Danio rerio: one gene and its partners. The protein of the gene in region 3 interacts with the protein of the main gene of each other region in a pairwise test. Links are inferred from orthologs where the notes say so. Each region holds a gene or a part of one and is shown on either strand. Other genes may lie near its edges.

Region 1 (4,098 bases), on a different chromosome or scaffold from region 3:
GCCAACAGGGACAGACTTCTCACCTCAGACTAACCGTAATACTGCTTTCTAATTCCTCACACAGGCCGCAAAGCATTGGGAGAAAATCAGCTTAGTTTTCCTCAGGAGAGCAGACACTAAAGGGGAGTTTTTTCTGTACTCATTAAGTTTTGTTTTACACTAAGAGTTACGAAAAACAAAGCGTTATTAAGAAATGGTGAATTAAAAAATATAGCAGTATAACAATGTATCTAAAAAAATCAGTTCGCCTCTTGCTTTGAATGAGCTTTTTTTTTTTTGCAAAAATGTGAACTTGGTCAGATGACAGCGGTTGACAAACACTGCTATTCAATTCATTATTAAATTTGAACGGGAAAATCCAGCAATGGCATGATTTTGAAGATTTGTTTTTTCGTTTCTGAAATTCTAGCATTAATCACATAAACTTCACTTTTGAATGCATTTCTCACGGAAGACGCCAAACAACTACTTTTGCAAATCTGGGCCTGTTCTCGTATTAATTTTTAATAACATCGAGCTGATTGCTGCACATGCATGTTCTCAAATTAAGAGGGCTATATGGTAAAATAAGAGGGTGTAATTATTATTGCATCTCATCAATTATATCAGCGAAAATATTTTTTATAAAATTCTGTGGATGATTTAGACTAATTAATAGTACTGATAAATTTGTCTATATTTATATTTCATATAATCGAACATCAACACATTAAGGAAAGCCTCTGAAAGTTATGTCTTCTAATAGCAACTGGTGTCCACAGCGGCCCATGAAATTGAACAAAAAGCCGTTTATTTTATTTTCATTTAGAAGACTTGATTAGTCAATTTAAAGTGAAGATGGAAGGCGTAAACAATGTTGAATTCAAGTGTTATTTGAAGTATTAATAATCGCGATGTGCCAGTCATTAATGTCTCTATGAATCTTGTAAGAACTGAAGGTAAGCCGCAGTCAAAGAAAAGTGCTTTATTTCTATGGCATACTTTCTCTTTAGCATACAAGTATGTCACTTCTGGTAAATCAAATAATCCAGAACGGAATATTTAAGATAAAACTGATTAAAATAGATATTTTTTTTATTAGAAAATTAGTTGGATGCAGTTTCGATATGAAATAAAATCCTTACCTCTTCAGAGGTCCCATTCTAATCAGAAACATGATAGCTTACAAAACGCTGAGTTAAGCAATAGATAGGACAGTTCCCCCGACACACTCGTTTTAAAATGGTTCAAACAAGACACTAAGTGATCAAAATGTTCAGTATGCCCTTTCTATTCTTTTTATAGACCTGAGACGGCCTTTGATATGTGCAGTTTAGAAGTAGTAAAACAGGTAGCATATAAGACCTAAATTTGTAGTCAACGGCTCTTGCAAAACCTTTAGTGACTGCTTGTCTGACTTGAAGCTGAAATCTTCTCACATATTAAAAAACTATTGAATTAAATTTAGCATGAGAGCATATGCTATTAGAAAAAAGCATACTTATAGTTAGGTTCATGTCGTTACTTATATATTCAAAGTAAAATAACAAATTCATAATTTTGGATTTTCATTTGTTTAGCCTAAATGTGTATAAACTGATGCTTTAAAAGTTGTCAACGCACGGTAGGCTTTGAGAGATGAGTTGTGTCACAGTGTGGGACAGAGTGTGTCGGAAACTACATGGCACAGTTTAGTAAATCAGCTCTTGATATAAAATCTCATTTTAAAACGCATTTAAAACTGCACGTGAAAATATTAAAGCGTGTTTTCAAAATCCGTCTATTGTATAAGACAGAATTTATAATGACGCAAAAAAGAAACAAAATTATATAAGTATGAAGTCATAATAGAAAAGCTCGATTACATGAGATTATGTGATTTCGTTGTTCGATCGCCTGTGACTACATGCTGTTTAACTTTGATTCGGTTTACTATATACCTCTTTTAAAGTTTAAGAAACCTGAGAAATAATAGTAAAATATTTTAATAAAAAAAGTTTCGTTGATTTAACCAACGTTTATAAAAGTTAGCATTATATAATCTTTGATAACGGAGCGCGACAGGAACAGTGTGCCACTGAGATAAAACTGTGTAAAACTATACACAAAATAAAAGAATTGTTTAAATAATAGGTTTAATGTCGTTTCTGTGTGTTTTGGCGGTACCGAGGTCTAGAGATGCAACACAAGAGAGGAGGAGGGGGAAAAGCTGAAACCATGCGAATCCCCACTTGTGTGGGCAACTTAAACGGGCCAGAACCAAACTAATTCGATGAGTTTTAACTTTTGCCAATGAATGCTGTATGGTGAAATTTGAAAGCCTTAAAAAATAAAGTAACGCGCAAACGTCACCCAAATTACAACTGGAAACCAATTTGTTAATAAATAAACAATAATTGCAGAAATATGTTTGTTCATTGAAGAATATCACACAGAACATGCGTAAAAGTGCCTTTGTGTTAAGCACAAACTGATTTCTGACAATAGCACGGGAAGTCTAAAAGTTTCCAACTGTACTTTAAAAATACAGCAGTCCCTTCAGCAGCACAAATATTAGCTATAAAGAAAGAATACGATGACCAGTTCCTTGCCTGGGATTAAAAACAAGGGGGATTCACTCTAAAAATGTTAAAACCAACAATAATTAAAATTAAGTTATAAATCCTTTGTGAAAATAGTGCAAACTGAGTTGCTGTGTGTAATAAGGGCTTGAACTCACCATTGTGCTCGGCTAGGACCAGCTGCGAGTCGGACTGGAAATGCTGCGGCTTCGCTTGTTTCCTCCGCGACATGCTGGCTCACGCATCAGCCACGAAAGAATAAAAAATTACTATCAAATCTGCTCAAAATTACGGAAATCGAGCCCATCCACCGCGCATGTGTCCTGTTATGATTATCAATAATGCCTCGCGATTAATCATGGAAGGGAGGGGGGTGGGGGGTCCTCTGAAAGGCGATTGGCACCTTGCCAGCCCCCTATTCAAATGAAGTCTCTTTAATCAATTAGCCGCTGATTTGCTGGGGACTCTTGTCTCTCTTGCTGCTCCCACCCAATGAGTTGATCCGTGAGGAAGAAAGGCTGGATTTTCCAACTCCCTTTAGATACAGTTTAACCCTTCTTAGCAACCATCTGGTGGCCACGTTAGAGCTTAACTTAGCCACTACAGGAATGTCAATTTCTCTTTCGAAAGACCAACCGTATCTTTTGATCTGTCTGGGCATCAAAGTGGCGCTCAAAAGTTGCAATTCACCCAAAAGTGTCCGGAGACTCAAACTCTCTGCCAAAGATCTTCCTTTCCCGTGGCTTGACGTTTCGGAGCGTATCGCGTATCCTGGTTTGTGATTGGCATTAAAGTTGCTGTAATTCAGCTCCTGGATGACTGCAAGCGCACCGTTTCTCACCAATTCGCTCTCTTTCCTCAAGGCAACGGTGTTAAAAGTAGGTCGGTCAGCCGAGTTTCGTGCGTAATGGCAACTATCGGCGTCTCGAAAGTCCAAAGAATATATCAGATGTCCCAAATCAGATTCATCTGATTATTGCCGAACGGGATCAGTAACACGTTTTCATCACACGCCGCATTCAGCGAACAAACAAACTTTAAGGGCCCATGCAGAACGGTGAGAAATCCCGAGCCCCACCCCTCTGTTCTTCTATTGGCCAGTGCTCTGCTCTATCATAACTCGCGCTCTCTGTCCCTCTCGGTCTCGCACCCACCTCTCCTTCACTCTCTCACCGCGCGACCGGCAGACAGAGGAAGCGCTCGTGGTTCACAGCGCAACTCTTCAGCTGCGCGAAAGCATCCCATCCAGCCTGTTTGAAAATGATTTCGCTCAATATATATTTCGCTTTTTACGTTTCGAGGCGGTCGTGGAGAAGAGAGAGCTCGAATCTGCATTGATAAAATGTAGAAGTCGCAAAAAGTTGAAAAAGTCTGGAAACCATCAAGAAAGTGTTTGGAAACGACGGTGTGCCATTAAGAGTCAGTTTAACCAGGATGAAAACTACGTCGTTGTTTAAACTACTTATTCTTAAGACGAGGACTTGTGCTATAAGCTAGCTATATTAACAAGTTTTAAATAGTTTATTTGCAAAAATCAAAAGTTTGTATAAAAGAGCCA
Region 2 (4,028 bases), on a different chromosome or scaffold from region 3:
TTGCACTCATATAAAAAATATAGAGAGTTTATAAAGTAAATGACTACCTTGACGTGCGTTCTTCATTGCATTTGGGCCGTTTTATGTCCCCAAGCAGAGCAGAGATTTACAGGCAAAACATAAACGCTGTGGTGTCGCTCCTCGTTTCCACTAAAAAATAGAAACGGTGTTAACTCACTAAATTTAAATAGCATCTAACATTTCATTTGTTTGACTGAAACAACAAAGCCAGACAGTTTTAACCGTGTGCATGCAATTTCAATGGAATACTTACTTTCAAAAAGCTGCACTCGTGTGTCAGTGTGCCATCTTATAAAGACAAATTAATGCAAATAATGCATAAACTTGTGGTTAATCATTTGTTTGAGCTAGAGTTAGTGAATGCACATTATTAAACCGTATAAGTGACATTTTCGTTTGTTTTGTTTGAGTAAATCAAACAACAAATATCATATTAGAATTGCAACCCAAATGGTAAACAAAATCAAAACCAGAAGCAATTTCAAATATCCAAATTTCAAAAATTTATTCATTTCAAACTGCATTGGAAAAAAAACTCATCTTGTAACTGTTATAATGATGTTATTAGTTAAAATATATACATGGAGCGTTGGCAACTGCGTACAGGCCACATTTTACAACTACGAAAAATGAAAGTTTTAAAATAAAAACTTAAAATATCACAGAAAATGTACAGAAAATTTACAAACCATGAGAAAATAAAGAACACAAACTTCATATATCTAACAGATGAAGAGTGGGAGACCGAAAATAATCAAGTGGAAATTAAAAAAAGCTGGAGAGTGCCTCTGTTCGTTCTCTCATTTAGAACTTAATAATAATAATAATAATAATAATAATAATAATAATAATAATAATAATAATGATTTATTACTATGTACCTTCAGTGAGAAACTCTTTAAATCCAGTTTTCATGTCAGCCTTTGCAAAACTTTGACGTAAACATCAGTTGTGCATCAATTTCTTGCACAATTTTTTATAATTTTTTTAAAACTTTCTGCTGTTTACAAACATTACATCTCGTTGTTGTTATTACGCTTCTTTTTTTAGATAAATACTGTACAAAAAGTCGATTGCAATAATAAAACATTTGATTCATTCTCCCCCCGCTTGTCAACCATGTCCAAATCTCATACACCTTTTGGAAACAAAACAGAACTGAAAAATCTAAATTAAAAAAATAATAAAATAAATCAGAAGAGAACAAAACAAAAACTGTGTGGAGTTCCTACCGTTCCTCTTTTTTTTAGTTTGTTTGTTTGTTTGTTTGTTTGTTTTTTAAATAGAAAGCAAAAGTTTTGTGTTCTTTCCTTGAGCTCTATACAACTTTTTCCCTCCCCAAAAGAAGTGTTCTGTACAAAAATAGTCCAGCAGTGTAGTAAAAAGAGTTCATTTTACATATGCGATAAGGGAATCGTGCCGTTAATCGTCGTACCGGGCACAGGTGCGCTCTGGTAATGTTGGGACATGTGCAGTCTGCTCTGAGCGCTCTGGTCCTGCACCTCCGCCCCGGGCAGGTACATACTGATCATGTCCCGCAGGTCCCCCGTTTGGCACTGTCCGGCCCGGGAATGAGACGACGACGTGACCACCGGCGGACTCGAACTAGACTCGGACTTGACCACCGAGCCCATGGAGCCCAGCGTCATTCCCGGCGTGCTTTGCTGCGAATAGGACATGCTGTAGGTGGGCGAGCCGTTCATGTAGGTCTGCGAGTTGGTCATGGAGTTGTACTGGAGCGCGCTCATGTCGTAGCGGTGCATGGGCTGCATCTGCGCCGTGTTGTGCGCGTTCAAACTCGGGTGCTGCGGGTAACCCAGCTGCTCCTGCATCATGCCGTAGCCTCCGTTGGTCCAGCCGTTCATATGCGCGTAGCTGTCCATCCTCTGGTTGACCCCGGCGCCCAAACCGGCCCCTACACCCACGCCGGCGCCCATGCCGTTGCCGCCCGGCGCCAGGAGCCCGCCCGGCAGGGTGTACTTGTCCTTCTTCATCAGGGTCTTGGTTTTCCTCCGGGGTCTGTATTTGTAATCCGGGTGTTCCTTCATGTGCAGAGCCCGAAGGCGTTTGGCTTCGTCGATGAATGGTCGCTTCTCGCTCTCGGACAGAAGTTTCCACTCGGCCCCGAGTCGCTTACTTATTTCCGAATTGTGCATTTTGGGGTTCTCCTGTGCCATTTTCCGCCGCTGTCCCCTCGACCACACCATGAAGGCGTTCATGGGTCTCTTGATGCGGTCCGGGCTGTTTTTCTGGTTGTTTCCCGAGGAGTTGGTGTTCCCCGTGCCCCCGGTGTTGGGCTGGGGCGCCGGGGGCTTCAGCTCGGTTTCCATCATGTTATACATTTAAACCGATTTTCTCGAAAGTCTACCCCACCAGCCGTAAAAATAAAAAATAAAGAAGTCCAAAAAGTGTGTGGAGAGGCTGCTGAAGTTACCTTAGCAGTTGGAGGTAACTTTGCTGGGAAAAGAAGCGCTCTTAGGTCCTGTTGTGCCCACAAACTTCTTTTCTTAGTCTTGAAGAATCAACACAAACTCGGTTTCCCTCCTCGCCAGAGCCCTTGTCAACTCCTGATACTTTTTGAACAAGTTAATAGACAACCATTCATAGAGCGACTGTCAGCGAATATAAATGGGTTTGTCGCTGACCAATCAGAGCGCGTCTGCTCCCTCGGTTTGCATAAAGGGGCGGGGTTACGGACGGTCAGCAGTGCAGCGCAGAGCCACAGGCAGTGGCTGTGAGTGTGTGTGTGTGTGTGTGTGTTTATGAGAGAGCTAAAGTGAGAATATTTCACACAAACCATTTTCCAATCAAACTCTGTATGATCTTAAGATTCTAAATAAACATTTAAAGTTTTATTATTAGTATTATTATTATTATTATTATTATTATTATTATTATTATTACTATTATTATTTATCGCTTTGTTTTTAGTGTAAGTTTGCGTATTCAACACATCAGTTAAACTCTTAAAGCACTGAAAATAAAATAAAGATTTTTTTAAGTTAAAACGGCAAGCTCATAATATTAAAAACTTCCAAAATAATGCGTGAATAAGCCGAATAAAATATAGCTATTTATTATTTAGTTCGCATTTAAAAATGAGCAGCGGCTTGTTTTATTAACGAATACAATAAAGTAAACGCAGGCGCACGAATTTAAAAGGTGTCATTTTAAAAACACTCGTTCTTGAGACATTATCCCAACTAACATGCCTGTATTTATGCCACTACACTTCAACCGGCTCAAGCTGAATGTGAATTAGAAAATGGAGGCCCGTCAATCATCACAAATAGGTAGTTTTGTTTCGGCTGTTGTCATTACATCACTCTGAACAAAAGCACGACAAAAGCCGACTACACTGACCATCTGAGTTGTAAGGATTTGTGTTATTAGGATTCACTCCATGAAGAGTGACAGGGGGAGAGGGTTTATTCAGCACAGCCTCCTTCAAAATAACAAGAGCACGGGCGCTTTGATTAAATCCAATTATTTGTATAATAACTAAAAACACAAGGAGCTATTTTTTGCCCAACACATCTATTCTCCGAGAATTACGATTAAAAGCTGATCATTCTTCCTGCAGAAGTTGACTTTACTCGACAAGAGTGGAACTAATATACAAACAGGCTTAATGTCAGGAGGAAAAAATGCCTATTTTATATTTTTCTTTTCCACGAAAGCATGTTTTATGTTTCAACAGCGTCCTCTTGCGGTCACACTGATACAAACTCGTGCTCCCTCAACATTTTCCACATGCACGCAGTTATTTTGGATTGCTTTATAAATAAGTTTTAGTCGCTGTACTTTTTATATAATTAGCGGGAGATAAAAAATAATAATTACACAAAACAAACAACATAAATTCCAACAATAATACTTATTTTTTTAGGGTTGCATGCATGAATAAATAAACACTCTCTCAGCGTCGTTTTAAACTTGTAAATCGACTAACAACGTGAGAATTTCAACACGACGGCAATGCAGCATGCGCCTTTATAATGCAAGTC
Region 3 (4,052 bases):
TTCTGAATCATCCACCCTATGCCCTTGTCCATTTGAACACAAATACTCTGAATCATTTAAAAACATTAAAGGTTGTCTTGTTCACATTTTATATTAAAGTTATTCTTATTACAGTTCAGTTTATAAACTTCAAATTGACAACTGTGCTATCTCCATAGTGCACTCCCATAACATTTATGCCATTTTAAACGCAGCAGTGACTCGTGAAGAAAGCTACATTTACAATCAAAAACCTGTTTACACACTTCCAGCAACTGTTAAAACAAACATTTAAGGTAATGATTTTAACTTGTATAGAAAATTGATCTCTAATATACTGTAAAAATGCTATGGTCCACACATTTCTTTTACATGGCCCATCATAAATTGATTAAACTTAATTTTTTTTCATAAATTTAAGTGGGCTTAACTTAAAACAATTAAGTTGTCCTCAAGAACACAAGTTTCAGCTAATTATATATAAGTACTTTGAACAAGCCGCAAAAGTCTTTTTTTTTAGTGTATATGATATATGCAACATTTCTGCAGTGGTTTGAGTGTTTATAAAACTGTAATAGTAATTTATTTAAATACAAAAATATACTTTTGTAAAATGTAATTTCTGAAACATGTAACTTTATAAGCAACAGATAAATATAAATATATTTTTTACATCTTTGACCATATACATATATATATATATATATATATATATATATATATATATATTTCAGAATTAGATTGCATGTCATTATATAATGGGTTTATGTTTTATTTATAATAGCAGAGAGTATGATATGGAATATTGTCAATAATATTTGTAAAAGAAAGTAAATACTTGTGTCGTTGCGTTTCATTTAAGAAAGCAGAGATAAAGAAAAGCCGAGGCAAGCAAACTAAATGTTTATTACCAAAACTCATAATGGGTAAAAATATATATATATATCCTGTGTGTAACAATATTTTCTGTACCAAAACTAAAAGCATCTATTAATGTGAATTTCCTCTTAATAAATTGTTACTCCACCCCCTTTAGATGATCATTACAGACGTTTTATGTTTTAACTAACATGGTTCAAATAATTGATCTGAAAGAGAGAATAAACTGTCCAGGGGTCTCATTTATAAACATGGTATACACAAAATTGGGGGTGGAAACACGTGTACGCCACTTCTTATACAGGTTATTATGATCTATAAAAAACAAACTTGACGGGAGAATGTGCGCAGCTTTAAGTAAACACATTTCGCTTAAATATTGACTTAATTCAAGCACTTTAAATCATCATAAAAGCCATAATAATTAATAAATAAATAAAAATGTATTCTGGTGTACATTCACTTTTAGGAAAGTTTCTATGCAATGTTTTATAAATGAGACCTCAGGAACCTTAACTGAAACATACACAACTATTTAAACATTGTTTTTTGTTTCGGCAATGACGCATTAATTTGATCACAGTTAAGATTTTTACAGTGTTAGTGTATTTCTATTTGTAACAATACTCACAATAATACAGATTTTATGCATTTTTGATTGAATAAAAGTAGCATTAGTGCGTTTTTTAAAAATCCTACCCACCCCCCAAAACCTCTGAATGGTAGTGTAGATTTATCGTTATCCCTCATAAATGGAAAAACTGACTCACCTGTCTCTGACTGTAGGATTCCTTCAGCTTCTTTAAATGTGTCGTCATCTTCACTTTAAAGTGAATTTCACTGTTGTCCTGCGAAATGAAAGGAAATCATCAAATCTGTTCAGATCTTTTCATATATCTCATTATAAAAGAACAGCTGGATTGGTTTTAAACAGTAATGGGTTTAAATATGAAAACCTGCATTTCCTAGAAAACAAGTGCTTTTGCTCACCTGACCGATCACTTTGAGTTTAATGTACTCTCCATCCTTCTTCTCGCCTCCATCACTTGAGGGCTTGGTCTCCTATTAAAACAAAACAAGCATTCGATTACTGCATGTCATATTGTTTTTTTATCAGATTTAATGTAATGAATTAAAAAAATATCTTGGGACTGAATTCAATAAAATATTGACTGAAGATCGTATAAAATAAGGTAGATCCGATTTTAATAAATTATAATTATATATATATATATATATATATATATATATATATATATATATATATATATATATATATATTATATATAAAATAATATTGTGAGTGTTGTTATCATTTAAACACTAGGCTGTGTGTGTGTGTGTGTGTGCTTTGAATGTAAACACACAACCTAACGTTACTCTTCTATCGCGAGCTGTTAATACGAGCACAAACCGAACACAAACTAACGTGAACAAATAACGAATAATCCTAATGAACATATCAAAAAATCAACAATTAATAACTAATTCAAATGTTCAGCATGGTCTATCAGCTCAAGATATTATGAACTCTGCTTTCAGGGCCCAGAGCAGCTAACTAGCACACATGCTAATTGGACGATTTGAGGAAGAAATTCACATATTTTTGGCATTTGTGAACACAGTAAATTGGACTAATGTGTAAATTGCGAGAACCAGAAACTATGCACAGTTAAAAACACTCAAGCATTTTTATCAAAAATACTTTCCAAACCACAGTCAGCTAGACAGGCTAAAAGCTGGGCCCTCTTATTTTCATTTTCTATAAGTCCGTCTTTCTCGTCTGCTCTCATGAAAGTTCGATTCAGCATCACAGGTTTAGACTCACCGTGTCTGACATGATATTCCGCAATGTGCAGCCCTTCTGTAGATCAAGATTGTTTGATTTAAACGATACAGTGTTATGTACAGTAATGAGAGGTTTTGATAGTGCTACCAGCAGACCCACAACACAGCGCCGTTGACGTCATTGGAAAGGGGCTGGACTTTCTATGACACTGGGTCGATGACCCAACGAGCGTTGTTTTTCTCACCACGCTCTTTCTGATTGGCTCCAATCGCCATCTGCGATGTTGCTATTGGTAAAACATAGGGAGGCCCGTATTTTGCAAAAAAAAAAAAAAAAAAAACACATCAGTATTTTGGTCACGAAATATTAGAGTGCAAAAATAATGTGACAACTACACTACACCTCTGGAGGACGAAACCTGCAAAAGCAACAAATAAATAAATACGCAAATAAATAAATTAATTAACACATGTACAAATTCCTTCATAAATAAAACAGTAAATAAATACGCAAATAAATAAATAAATAAATGACTAAATATATACACAAGTTCCTACATAAATAAAATAATTAATAAATAACTACACGAATAAATGAATAAATACTCAAATCCCTGTGTAAATAAAACAATAAATAAATAAATACACAAAAAATAAATAAATACAAATTCTTGCATAAATAAAACAATAAATAAATAAATACACAAATAAATTAATAAATAAATAGACAAATTCCTGCATAAATAAAACAATAAATAAACATGCTAAATAAATAAACAAATGTACAAAATAAATACACAAATTAAAAAGATAAAAAATAAAAAGCAATGAATAAATAAAGTAAATAAATAAAGCAATAAATAAATAAAACAATAAATTAATATGCAAATAAAAAATCAATTAGTTAATAAATTCGCAAATTCCTGCATAAATAAAACAATAAATCGTTTATTTTATGTATTTATAACTTTTAATGCCATAGATTTTAAAAAAGACATTAAGACTAATTCAGTGGATCAAAGGTAATATAAAAAATCTGTATAATGTTACTGAACATTTTATTTCAAATACAGTTTCTTCTGAGAATTTTAGAAAGCTGAATGTATTGTGTATTTAACAGAAATATCAAGCAGAATTATTATTAATCATAGAGCACCAAGTAAAATTGACCATAACAAATTCTGAACTCTCATTGGAATATTAAACATATTTACATACAACAATACAGATATTTAAAATTGAAATAATATTTCATATTATAATTGTTTATTCATCTTTTTGTCTAAAACATTTAAATATCTTTTTTTTTTACAAAACTTTTGTTTAGTATATTATTATTATCATCATCATCATCATCATCATCATCATCATCATCATCATCATCATCATCATCATCATCCTCATTA
Region 4 (4,251 bases), on a different chromosome or scaffold from region 3:
TTTACTGTAATTATTATTATAGACATTTTGTTGATCTAATTTCAACTTTGCTCTGATTGTTCATCATTTACACTTTTTTTAGTGTTTACATTTTGCTAACAACTGGGATACACTGTTAAAATATTGGGCGCCACTGCCACAAAATTCCTAATAAAATATCCCAACCGCAAGTTAACCTAATTATTTTTACAAATTTAAATGAACTGAACATAAAACAATTAGGTGTACCCCATAAGAATTGTGTTTATTCATCTTATTTTAAATAAGTAGTTTGAACAAGCAGCAAAAATCCTCTTTTTTTGGTGTTTTTTTGAATGTATGACACCTGTTTGGAAAATTACAATTAAATTTGGATTTTGGGAATACACTTTAATTCTCAATTAGTGATTTGTTGTGTTGCTAAATATTCAGTTTCCTTGTTGTAAACTTGCCAAATAAATAAATGTATAAATTAAAATAAATGTGTATGATAAAAATTAAACATTTTAATGCAACAAAAATGTTTTTGCTGCATATTTATTGTTTTGATGCTTTTTGAACATTTATAAATTATAATTAATATTAAATAGAATAATAAGCATAAATATCTATTCCTTATTGATTGACTGACTGATATTTTATTCATTTTTTTTTTACTTAGTCCCTTTATTAATTAGGGGTCGTCACAGCGGAATGAACCACAAACTTATCCAGCACGTTTTACGCAGCAGATGCCCTTCCAGCAGCAACCCATCACTAGGAAGCACCCATACACTCATTCACACACACTATGAACAATTTAGATTACCCAATTCACCTGTAGTAGCACATGTCTTTAAACTTGTGTGAGGGAAACCGGAGCACCCAGAGGAAACCCACACGCCGCCCACTAATATTTTATCTTATTCAAAAATAATATTAATAACAATGTTTTATTTAAAAATTTTTGCAAAGTAAAACATTTTAAATCCTAAATCAATTCATGATTTATTATTAACTATTTTCACATCATTGCACACTATACACGCGTCATTTAAAGCCCACTGTAAACTCAACAGCCTTAAAATCGCAAATGCTTAAATTTTTTTCTTTACTTGAATCTGTAATTACAAATGATTGTGAGAAGTAGAAATAACATATAAAAAGAAACTACAATACACCTTTATATATTTTTAATGAACACATTCCGAGAGCAAGTTAAAGTAATGGTATTATGTAATGAATTACAGTGAGCACTTAAATGCTTTCACTTTAGTCCTCTTAAGAGTATGACAAAGCTTACAAGCTTTTTTCAGCAACAGGGCTGCCCAATATATTGTAGATTTATCATTATCAAAATAATAGCATATGCGCCAAGATTTTGTGTTGCATAAATAAGTTGTTTATCCAAATTTGGCCAATCAAATGGGGCCGTATTACATTTCAACCTGCTGTTATGCTGACCATTGTGTTTTCTCAATGTTTGCACCTTCACAGTTTTTATTAGCCTATAAGATAATTGATTATCTTATTATGATTATTACATTAATAAACATAAATAAAATTTGTCAAGAGACATGTTATAATCACAAACAAAATCACTGTAAGAATATTCAACAAAAATAACGCATGATGCATATATTTACTATATCTTGCTGAAATAGTCTGCATGATACAAAAACATCTGCAGATTTATTTGGGAACTCTACATTTGTTATAATTATTTTATGCAGTATATATAAAAGCTAAAGAAAAAAAAGACTAGGAACTAAACACAAATGTATTTTACTTACTCTCCAAAAACATAAAAAAAACAAAGATTAACAATACACAATATTGTTCTCATCATATGTTCAACACTGAGGTAAAGTTGGTTTTATATTCACATATTAATATGTGTTATAATAACTTATATACTCTATATAACTGTCCCCTAATTGTTTACCCAGCTAAGTACTTTGAATATTCTATCTGAAATCGCATGCAAGTATGACTTTAAAACAACATGAAAACTATTTAATTGAATGTAAACAATGATGTATTTTAAAAGTTATTGGCTGCTAATCTGATTTTCCTATTCAGAATTTAATAATACTTTTCTGAAATTATATTAAGGAAAATTTCAGAATATGCAAATATAAAACCAACTTAATTATTTACTTAACTTTATTTAATATGTTCAACCACCATAAATGCTAATCAAACTTACAAACAAATGCTCTAGAGCTTTCGTGACACACTTGAACAGCTTATATGAGACCAATTTAAAACAGTATAACGTACATACACTACAGTCCCTCGAAAGTGATGTTTACATGTATAACGTGGCCATAACATACATGATCTCTGTTTACAAAGCAAAGTAATATGACATAAACATAACGTTTAGTTTGGTCACTGTCAGATTATTTTACGAGTATTCGAGGACAAATATTTTGACATACTAGTATAACAATAACATTTTTATCTGTTTGTTTGTTTGCATATTTGCACAAAAGCATGTAGTTGAAATGGAGACTGTTTGACAACACCACATTAGTCCTAGACAGAGATTTGTGTCCTCAAATCCATAAAAACAATTCCAAAAAACATAAACTCATCTGATTTAACACATAAACAACACCACAGTGAATTGACACTATGCTAACTGAAAAGCTAAAGCACCCAATAAAAACCAACAACGTCAGACCATCCGCAACACTAAATATCTGCATAAAACCAGCAAGTCAACAAAACACTTGTCCTTCAACAACATTAAATGTACGCGGATATATATTTTACACGAATCTGACAAGCATGTGTTAGCTTCAGTGCTAGAAGTGCTGCTCGGAGACCCACGTGTGTTCACGTACACATGGACGCCGGCTGAGACGCGTCGCATTACTACTACACGGACACGGCGTCGTTTAAAAACATTTATAACCTCAGCTACATCAAATGGCACGTTTGAACAGGTTTACTACCAGACTGATTAAAAATCTGACCTGTTTATAAATTCCGATTTGCAACACGGGACACTACTGGCTTCCGGACTCCACAGGAACATGAAATGGTTGGCCAACTATTCGTCATCCCTGGGAAAAATGAACTAAATTTAGCACAAGCATCGAAAATTAGTGACTCTGAATATGAGGATTGTTTTAAAAAACTACAACTATGTCTGATCGTGGTGTTAATAGGAGAGCATTTGGAATATGAATTGTTCTTACTTGTATTTTCTTTTATACAAGATAGAATAAGAGCCAGTGGTCCCTGAAATGTAACCTACTGTAGGCATGAGAAAATTTTACAGAGTAGATAAAAAATTTACTAAATTTGATTCATTGTCATGAACATTGATACACGTTTAGCTTATTTTGCTATTAATAGCCTAATAATAATAATGTTTTGTCACTATTGGTTTTTAACAATGGACAATATAGTACAAAAAACTTCTTAAAAACAAAACAAGAATGATATAATTATGTACATAGAAATAGAAATAAATATGTGACCAGAAAATATAAGAACATAACATTGTTTCCTAACAAATATGAAATATGAGAACAAGTGCTCATATATTAAAATACATATTATGTGTATTGTAACTTTTTTTCAGCTCCTTCACTGTTACAAAAAAAAAAAAAAAACTTTTTAAACATATTTCAAACAATAATTTCATGACATATCAAAAGACTTAATTTAACCCCTCAACTTTCATCTCACATTTAGGTGAAGGAATAAGGAGTAAAGTTAAAAGGTAAGGATCTTTTTTTATTACACTAACCTGAGTTTTACCCTTAAAAGTAATTTATGTAAAATAGATTTACCCTCTATAGCATTTTATTGTTTCAAATTATTTAAAACAATAATTCAAAACTCTGCTTTCTATATAAAATAAATATATTAAATTTAATTTGATGCATCTCTATGTTCCCAACTTTTAAGTTCACATCTGAAATAAAAAGCCAACATTGTTACTTCTTGTAGAAGTATGTGGTTTAATTGAAATTTCATTCATTTATTAATCTTCTTTTTGGCTTATTCCCTTTATTAATCTGGGGTCGCCACAGTGGATTGAACCACCAACTTATTCAGCATATGTTTTGCGCAGCGGATGCCCTTCCAGCCTAACCCAACACTGGGAAACACCCATACACTTTTGCATTCACACACATACACTACGGCCAATTTATTCATTCATTCATTTTCTTGTCGACTTAGTCCCTTTATTAATCCGGGATCACCACAGCGGAAAGAACCGCCAATTTATCCAGCAAGTTTTTACGCAGCGGATGCCCTTCCAGCCGCAAC

Evidence for each region.
Region 1: the proteins of sumo1 (region 3) and sall1a interact in a two-hybrid assay, tested with the Homo sapiens proteins (2 studies listed by BioGRID, with this or other methods). The link is inferred for Danio rerio from reciprocal best matches to the Homo sapiens genes SUMO1 and SALL1.
Region 2: the proteins of sumo1 (region 3) and sox2 interact in binary tests that used the Homo sapiens proteins (3 or more experiments, as listed by UniProt). The two-hybrid records come from large-scale screens. The link is inferred for Danio rerio from reciprocal best matches to the Homo sapiens genes SUMO1 and SOX2.
Region 4: the proteins of sumo1 (region 3) and zcchc7 interact in binary tests that used the Homo sapiens proteins (3 or more experiments, as listed by UniProt). The link is inferred for Danio rerio from reciprocal best matches to the Homo sapiens genes SUMO1 and ZCCHC7.

What each region holds. Positions count from the first base shown.
Region 1 is NC_133182.1:37,584,707-37,588,804, reverse strand, and holds the start of sall1a (sal-like protein 1a), read right to left. Parts: upstream 2,801-4,098; 5' UTR 2,772-2,800; coding exon 2,699-2,771; intron 1-2,698. UniProt on the Homo sapiens protein: Transcriptional repressor involved in organogenesis. Plays an essential role in ureteric bud invasion during kidney development.
Region 2 is NC_133197.1:39,474,721-39,478,748, forward strand, and holds sox2 (transcription factor Sox-2), read right to left. Parts: upstream 2,587-4,028; 5' UTR 2,364-2,586; coding exon 1,416-2,363; 3' UTR 501-1,415; downstream 1-500. UniProt on the Homo sapiens protein: Transcription factor that forms a trimeric complex with OCT4 on DNA and controls the expression of a number of genes involved in embryonic development such as YES1, FGF4, UTF1 and ZFP206. Binds to the proximal enhancer region of NANOG.
Region 3 is NC_133181.1:10,603,363-10,607,414, reverse strand, and holds the start of sumo1 (small ubiquitin-related modifier 1), read right to left. Parts: upstream 2,801-4,052; 5' UTR 2,699-2,800; coding exon 2,687-2,698; intron 1,921-2,686; coding exon 1,849-1,920; intron 1,707-1,848; coding exon 1,629-1,706; intron 1-1,628. UniProt on the Homo sapiens protein: Ubiquitin-like protein that can be covalently attached to proteins as a monomer or a lysine-linked polymer.
Region 4 is NC_133176.1:23,284,506-23,288,756, forward strand, and holds the start of zcchc7 (zinc finger CCHC domain-containing protein 7), read right to left. Parts: upstream 2,801-4,251; 5' UTR 2,242-2,800; intron 1-2,241.